2 linked regions of the Ovis aries genome follow. The protein of the gene in region 1 interacts with the protein of each later gene in a pairwise test. Links are inferred from orthologs where the notes say so. Each region holds a gene or a part of one and is shown on either strand. Other genes may lie near its edges. The genes, in order: BMX and PTPN21.

Evidence for each region.
Region 2: the proteins of BMX (region 1) and PTPN21 interact in binary tests that used the Homo sapiens proteins (3 or more experiments, as listed by UniProt). The link is inferred for Ovis aries from reciprocal best matches to the Homo sapiens genes BMX and PTPN21.

Annotation. Positions count from the first base shown.
Region 1 is NC_056080.1:13,717,187-13,721,000, forward strand, and holds part of BMX (cytoplasmic tyrosine-protein kinase BMX), read left to right. Parts: intron 1-1,685; coding exon 1,686-1,843; intron 1,844-3,484; coding exon 3,485-3,559; 3' UTR 3,560-3,814. UniProt on the Homo sapiens protein: Non-receptor tyrosine kinase that plays central but diverse modulatory roles in various signaling processes involved in the regulation of actin reorganization, cell migration, cell proliferation and survival, cell adhesion, and apoptosis.
Region 2 is NC_056060.1:98,303,773-98,308,235, reverse strand, and holds the start of PTPN21 (tyrosine-protein phosphatase non-receptor type 21), read left to right. Parts: upstream 1-1,530; 5' UTR 1,531-4,463.

The sequences.
Region 1 (3,814 bases):
GTTTGTATACCCATAACACCCTGCAAATACTTTGTTTTCAAGTTAATAAAAATTTCTTACTCAGAAAAAAATATCAGAATTCGTAATAGTCATAACTGCTTTTTGACCAAAAATTGTATTACCCAGGTCAACTGCTTATCTTTTATGTGCCAGAATTTGGCTGCAAAGATTTTCTGGCTGTTTCCAAAAACTAAATTCATTCTTAAATAATCTGACCCTAGTAAGAATACTCAAAATAAACCAAAACCTCTGAAAGCAATTATCAAAGAGGAGCCCCAGACATTTTAAGCAATGATATTATTCATGAGATAAGTGGACCCGCTTCAAAGGAGAGAGTTGTGAAGGAGTCAACAAATTTTTGGATGGTTCTTTTAGAATGTTTAAAACACACACACACAGTCTCCACAAATTGTAATAATGCCTGACTATAAATATTTTACATAAAATCTGTAGCCCTAAAAGTCAAAGTTTTGAAGTTAGTACTTCAGTTATGGTTCTAGAACAATTTTCTCCCCGCTTACATATGTCTGTTTTTCTAAAGCTTTTGAGGTTGGCTGACTGCTGGAATTCTCTGGCATGGCTAGTATGACAGCACAATGGCCACCATTTAGAGAGCTTAAAATGTCCCCAGTGTCCTTTAAGTGCTCCCAGTGTTTCATCCTGTTCAATCCTCATGACAACTTTGTGACATGCAAATATCCACATATTACAGACGGGAAAGCAGAACTGAGAAGGGCAAAGAAGCTTGCCCACCTTGTAAGTGGCAAACCTGTGCCTCAAAAGCCATGTCTGACTGGCCCCAGACGCCACCCTCTTGCCCACCATGACCAGAGCTCAGTTCCTTAATCTGGAGTCTGCCATACTCTGGATACTTCCAGAAAACACTCTGTGAACTTCCAGAAAATGAGTCAGAAAATTCTGTGCATTCACTGTCTTGAGGGGAAGCCAATGGTTTTAAGCAGATTCTCAAAAGGACACCTGACCCACAAAGTATTTTAGAACACAGGTCCCCAACCTCTAGGGCAGAGACCCGGTGCCTCCTGTCAGATCAGTGGCAACATTAGCTTAGAAATAAAGTGCATGATAAATGTAACACGTTTGAAACATCCCAAAACCATCCTGCCCCCTCCGGTCCCGGGGAAAAATTATCTTCCACGAAATGGGTCCCTGGTGCCAAGAAGGTGGAGAACCACCTTCCAGAGGACTGAGGCAATAGAAAAGCCGGAAAGTTGTCCATGACCTTATCTTAAATTTCCACCCAAAGGTAATGTGTGAGTGCCAGGAAATTATTGCCAAGGCAGAGAGAAAGGGCGGGGACTTCCGCGCCTCGCTCGAAGGGTTGAAGCTGGGGCTGTCCCTGTGGCTTCGACGGGGCCGCCGCCTCTCTGAAGCAGCCCAGGGGCCCTGGCCCCAGGGACCTCCCCCTGCAGCGACCCAGGCCGCCTCCCCGTTTCCCAGCAAGAATGGGCGTCGGGGCCTCAGGGAGCAGGAATAAGAGAGCTGGGGCTCCAGAAGGGCTAGCCCAGTCTGTCCTCCCTAACCCGCCCTTCTTGCTGGGACTCATCCCCCAGGGACCCAGGCTCTGACCCAGAGCCTTGCTGACGCGTGAAGCTCACGTGACAAACTGTACATTCTGACGTGGGCTCTCTTTCCTCTGTCGGCTGGCCGCCCTCGTCGCGGGGCAGGGATCCTGATGTGGGAAGTGTTCAGCCTGGGGAAGCAGCCCTACGACTTGTACGACAACTCGCAGGTGGTCGTGAAGGTCTCCCAGGGCCACCGGCTCTACCGGCCCCAGCTGGCGTCGGACACCGTCTACCACATCATGTACAGCTGCTGGCACGAGGCGAGTGCCCCACGACGGGGCGGGGCGGGCAGCGGCGCGGCGCACCCGGCGGCTTGTTGGGTCACCGCCCGAAGGAGCGCTTCTGAGCGCAGGCACTTGCTCCAGGGGCTTTCCGAGTGGCTCAGTGGTGAAGAGTTGGCCGCAGTACAGGAGACACAGGAGATGTGGTTCAGTCCTTGAATCTGGAAGATTCCCCTGGAGAAGGAAATGGCAACCCACTCCAGTATTCTTGCCTGGAGAATCCCATGGACAGAGGAGCCTGGCGGGCTGCAGTCCATGGGGTCGGACAGGACTGAAGCGACTGAGCATGCGCACACTTGCTACAGAGCAGGTGACGATGGCCCTGGGCCCCTGCTGAAGCCAGCACTATAGGTGCCAACAATTTTGTTCATATTTCTTTATGGCTCTGTCGAGTCTTAGTTGTGGTTATGCTCTTCTTACTTGCTCTGTCATGTCCGACTCTTTGTGAACCCATGGACTGTGGCCCGCCAGGCTCCTTTCTGTCCATGGAATTTTCCAGGCAAGAATACTGGAGTGGGTGACCATTTCCTTCTCCAGGGAATCCTCTCCACTCAGGGATCGAACCATGTCTTCTGCGTCTCCTGTATTGGCAGGATTCTTTACCACTGCACCACCTAAGAAGCTCAGCTTACTTTTAAATTCACTTACAGTTAAATTTTATTTTAAACTTAGTCAGTCTTGACCGTGCACAAAACTCTTTTCCCAGCGTCCACTTTCCACAAAACTCTTTACCACTTTTTGTAGTCATAATTTTATTTTCCCACTCAGAAACAGACACCTGTAAGTCACACCTGCTTCCTTTTCTCTTGGTGCCGGTTTAGTTGCTAAGTTGTGTCTGGCTCTTTCTGAATAGTTTTCTTAGCTATTTTGCATATTTAAAATCCACAAACTAGATAATCAATTTGTTCAGCTTAAAACAAGCTTGTTCATATTTGGAAGAGTTTGTATTCTAACTTGGGAGATTCATCATCTCTATGTTATTGATGTGTCCTATTCAAAGACAACCAATGTTATTTTCTATGTGCTCAATTCTACACTTGTGTTTTTCAGCAGCATTTTAAAGTTTTCCTCATTTTGGGGGTACTTTTTTTTAGTATTTTATTGGGGTTTGTTGCTATTGTAAATGGAGTTTTCTCTTCCAGTATATCTTCTAATTGGTTATTGTGTGTGTATATATATGGAGACTATCCAGTGTTCTTGCCTGGAGAATCCCAGGGACGGCAGAGCCTGGTGGGCTGCCGTCTATGGGGTCGCACAGAGTCGGACACGACTGAAGTGACTTACCAGCAGTAGCAGCAGCAGCAGCAGGAAGACTATAGATTTTGTCAGTTAATTTTATATGCTGCTCTCCTGATGAATTCCTTTGTTATTTGGGTTTGTTCTATCATTAATTCTCTTGGTTTTTCAAGGTATGCAGTCGTATCTTATGCAAATAAAGATACTCTTATTTTTCTTTCCCAATTCTTAGGGTTCTATTTGTTTTCTCTTTAGAAGAAATGTCTATAGCATTTCCACATTTTAAGAATTGCTAGTTTTAGGACTGAAGTATAAATATTTTACATAGTTTATTTTAAATCGGAACCCTCATAAATTAAACCATTGGATTTTTCTTTTATCTAGCTTCCAGAAAAGCGTCCCACATTTCAGCAGCTCCTATCATCCATTGAACCACTTCGGGAAAAAGACAAGCCTTGAAGAAGAAGTGAGAAGATCTGATGAGAATGAGTATAAATGTTGACCAACATTTTCATTCTTTTTAAGGAAAGTAGCCTAGCACAGATGTTGTAATTTAGCTAGTTTTGCTTAACGGTATTCTGTGTGCTGTTTTATCTGTTCTATTATCTAGAAAAAAACAAGGTAGGAAACAAAAGATTTCCTTGATATTTAGGTCAAGTTAGTGATTTTGTTTATGCTTCTCTTAGTATTACACCTCCCAGCCTATAGCAGAAG
Region 2 (4,463 bases), on another chromosome or scaffold:
AGGGGCTTTCCTGGTGGTCCAGTGGTTACGAATCTGTGCATCAGGGTTAGATCCCTGGCTGCGGGATCCCACACCCCTGCTTTGCAGATGGCTGCTGCAACTAGAAAAAAAGTCCACAGGCCGGAAGGAAGACAAAGCTTTCCAGAAACAAAGCTATTTTAAAAATAATTTACATTAAGTTTACATAACAGAAGGTTCTTTGCTCCAGTCACTCAAACCACTGGCCAAGTAAGAGCAAAACACCTATTGTTAAGGTTACTAGGACCACACAGTTTTATTCCTTGGCTTAAGTGTAGACCTGCAATAATGATAATGATGGTGACTGTAGTGTAATAGTACCATATAATAATAAAAGTTGCTCTTAGGGGTCAGAATGAAGCCCTTCATGTATGTTTTACACAAGTTGCTGGATAGTGATTATTTTCATTATTTCACAGGACATGAGCAGGCACAGAAAGGTTAAGAAATTTGCAAAAGGTCCTCCAGCTAGTTAGCTTGGCAGCTGAGATTCGAACCCAGACAACTGGACTCTGGAGTTCCCCGATCCTTAAAGCTCCACTTTGGACTGCATGAACATACAGCTCTGCTGAAGACCTAAAGGTTATTTGAGGCATATCAGTCTTTTTGGAGGCTTCCCTGCTGGCTCAGACTGTAAAGAATCTGCCTGCAGTGCGGGAAACCGGGGCGTAATCCCTGGGTTGGGAAGACCCCCTGGAGAAAGGCATGGCAATCCACTCCGCTATTCTTGCCTGGAGAACCCCATGGACAGAGGAGCCTGGTGGGCTACAGAACATGGGGTCGCAAGGAGTTGGACACGACTGAACGACTTTCACACACAATCTTTTTTAGGGGAAGGGGACTTTGCCACCCTGTATACCAGTCCTTCCCACCCTGTTATCAATCCTTTTTTTATGGAGTATGCCCTTAGACGAAAGCAACGGAGAAGAAAGAGACTATTTGAACTGTTTTCAGACATGTAGACGAGTAAACGAACAACTCCGGCAATAGTACCCTTTTACCGATCACCTAGTAACGCGGGAATAACACCCTTTACCTGGCACCGAAATGTTACCCCCTCCTCTCATTTTTGTTAAGGCCTCGCTTTATTTGGAAACTCTTAAAATAAGCGGTCATATGATTCAAACAAGCAGCGGCGCGCCCCCTCCCCGGCGGCCGGGCGCAGCTGTCCGCGCCTCCCCCGCCCGCATTCCAGCCCTCTGAGGTCACGGGCCGCCGCCGCCTCTCCGGATCCGCCCGCCCGCCCGGCCCGGGGGAGGGACGCCCGGGCCCGGCCGCCCTGCTGCTCCGGCCGCGCGTCCTCCGGCTGCCCGGCCCGCGCCGGGCCTCTGCGTGCGGCGCCGCCGGCCCCAGCTGCGGGCCTCCGCCCTCGGCGCGGGGGAATGCGCGGCGGGCCGGGGCCGGGGCGACAGGAAGCGAGGCGCGCGGGCCCCGTGAGCGCGCTGCGGCGGGGGCTGGAGTGCGGGCGCGGCTGCGGCGGCAGCGCGGCGGGGCCCCGCGGGGCGGGCCGCTGAGCGGGGCGCGCGGCCCCGAGGATGCGGCGGCGGGAGCAGGTGAGGGCGCGGGGCCCCGGCCCGCGGGGCGCGGGGCGCGGGGCGCGGGGGGGGGGGCGGCGGGGGCTGAGCGCGGGGCTGTGTCCGCCAGCCAACACCCCCGAGTCCGGGGAGGACGCGTCCCGGCTGCCCAGACCCGAGGCAGGGACGAGCGTAACAAAGAGAAAAAACTCTTCCAGGCTGTCTTCCACTTGAGGCATTTGCAGAGGGGTCTTGAACTTGTATTCGGAGCTCCTCGGTTGATTGTGAGCGGCTTAATTCTGCATCTGGGCTTTAAAAGTCTTAGGCATGTTTGTGCCTCTCGGCACAATATTAAGTGCGAGATTTGCCAGATAACTTTGGCGAGAAGGAGAGGAACGAAGGACTGTTTCGTGGTGATGGCTTGTTTTGGTTTTGGAGTAAAGAGTGTTTACTCTGGAAAAAAGAATTCTTGGGTCTGCAAATTCCGACTTGTGATTTCTGCAAATCCTGATTAGACTGGCCGCTTTTGGCATGCCCGTCTTATTTTCTTTTTTGCTGAGAAAGCCTTATAATAGCGTATGCTCGCAAACCGGTTCATAATAACTCCGCGTGCGCCAGGTGACAACCGCTGTATGCCTAAGGGTTGCTGATAGATTTTCCTTTTTTCTAACTTTGGGATATGATAGGAATTTTATTCTGAAAGTAGTTGTCTGTTGTTTCCAGCACATTTTATTCTCGAGTTCTACGCATAAATGTGTTCACGACAAATATGCGTTGGATTTAATGCTATATATCTATTCATTATTCTAAGAATACAATTTTAGAGATTATTTTATTTGAAAGCATCATTAATAAAATTACACGTAATGAGGACTGTAGCAACAAAGCGGAAAACTACAGGATTCAGACTTTAAAAGTGTATTTGAGAAGCTTCTGAGAGGGGATGTAAAAACATTAAAATGATACTTGAACATAATTAATATATACCTATTTTTTAAATTTCAAAATAAAGTGATTTTGTAGAGAAACAAAATATCTTAGTATATTTTCCTGCAAAAGCTAATTATGAATGTCTGTTTAGTAATCAGTTAAGACTTCCAGACCCAGCTACCTTTCAAATTATTTCATATTATTTTACACCTGAAACAGACACCCCCCCAAAGCATCTTCAAATTCTACTCTATTCAAACATTCATAACTTTATGACAATATTTGGTAGCAAATACTGTACATAACTGAAAATTGTGTAAATTGTTTCACACACACATACCCTTCAACTTTTTCAATTACTTTTTATAACATCTACCAAAATAAAAAAGAGAAAACGTTGGCTTGTCTATATCCTTGATGCAGTAAAACATTTCAAACTCAGGGACAGCAAAGTTTTACTCTGCTTCATCAGAGCTTAAATTGATAATTAAGTTATATAATGTAATATCTACTGCCTTCAGGGCGTAATTCATATTTGCAGTGAAGAGAATACCATGTTTGAACATCCCTAATACAAATTTTCATCTTTCCTCTGTACAACTTAACTGTTGTTTCCAGTTACCATAATTTGTATGTAAAATTTAAATTCATTACCTTATCTCTTGATAGGGTATTTAGCATATCTATCTATAAGGGTATCTATAATCTTTTAAAATGTACTCATGCATGGCTCATAGGCACTTTTCTAGTTGAAAGGTTATTATTTCAAGTTCTCACTTACGGATTTTATTTTTCATTTTGTCTCAACGAGCTATTTGGTTTATACCCTGACACACACAAGAGCACTGAAAACTGCAGGTAGAGCCCATGTCTTTTCATAATGTCTATTTTCTATTCCCTTCTTTAGTAAGGTGCTTTTACCTTCCAGAGGTACACGGCAAATGCTGTTAAATTAACACAGTGGCTTATGCACTTCTAGTTTTCTTTTTTCTTCTGGCCTTTTCCCTCTATTCCCTGTTTTTAACTTTTATTTTTCTGGCTCTCTGTGGATAACCAGAGCTCAAACAAACAAAACCCGAACCCAGACAACAAAAGCAGAAAGTCGTGGTTGGGTCCTTATTAGAGATACAGCCATGTATGTAATTATAGCTTGCTTGTAATCTACTTAAGAGCAAGGATGGCTTAGGAATTGATTCCTTTTAGACTTTCTGTAGGGCTTCCCTCGGAGAAGGCAATGGCACCCCACTCCAGTACTCTTGCCTGGAAAATCCAATGGACGGAGGAGCTTGGTGGGCTGCAGTCCATGGGGTCGCGAAGAGTCGGATACGACTGAGCGACTTCACTTTCACTTTCCTGCATTGGAGAAGGACATGGCAGCCCACTCCAGTGTTCTTGCCTGGAGAATCCCAGGGACGGGGTCGCACAGAGTCGGACACGAGTGAAGCGACTTGGCAGCAGCAGCAGCAGGCCTTCCCTGGTGGCTCAGCTGGTAAAGAATCCGCCTGCAGTGCGGGAGACCTGCGTTCAGTCCCTGGGAGAAGGAAACGGCCACCCGCTCCAGCACTGTGGCCTGGAGAATCCATGTACAGTCCATGGGGTCGCAAAGAGTCGGACACGACTGACAGTCTTTCACTACACGTCTCCACAAGGCCCACTGGGGGGCTTCCCCGGTGGCGCTAGAGGTAAAGAACCCCTGACTAAAGCAGGCAGACCTAAGAGACGGGGTCGATCCCTGGGTCGGGAAGATTCCCCTGGAGAAGGAATGGCAGCCCACTCCAGTATTCTTGCCCGGAGCATCCCTTGGACAGAGGAGCCTGGTGGGCTACAGTGCCTGGGGTGGCAGGGTCCAACAGGACTGCAGCGACTTAGCACACACGCCTAAAGGCCCTCTCCACAGCCTTGTCCTCAGAGACGCAGTCCACTTCGGTGAGACAGGATTATGAAGTGTTAGGTCTGCCAAAGCCGAGTAGAGCTAAACGCTGGTTCTCCTCACCCCCGCCC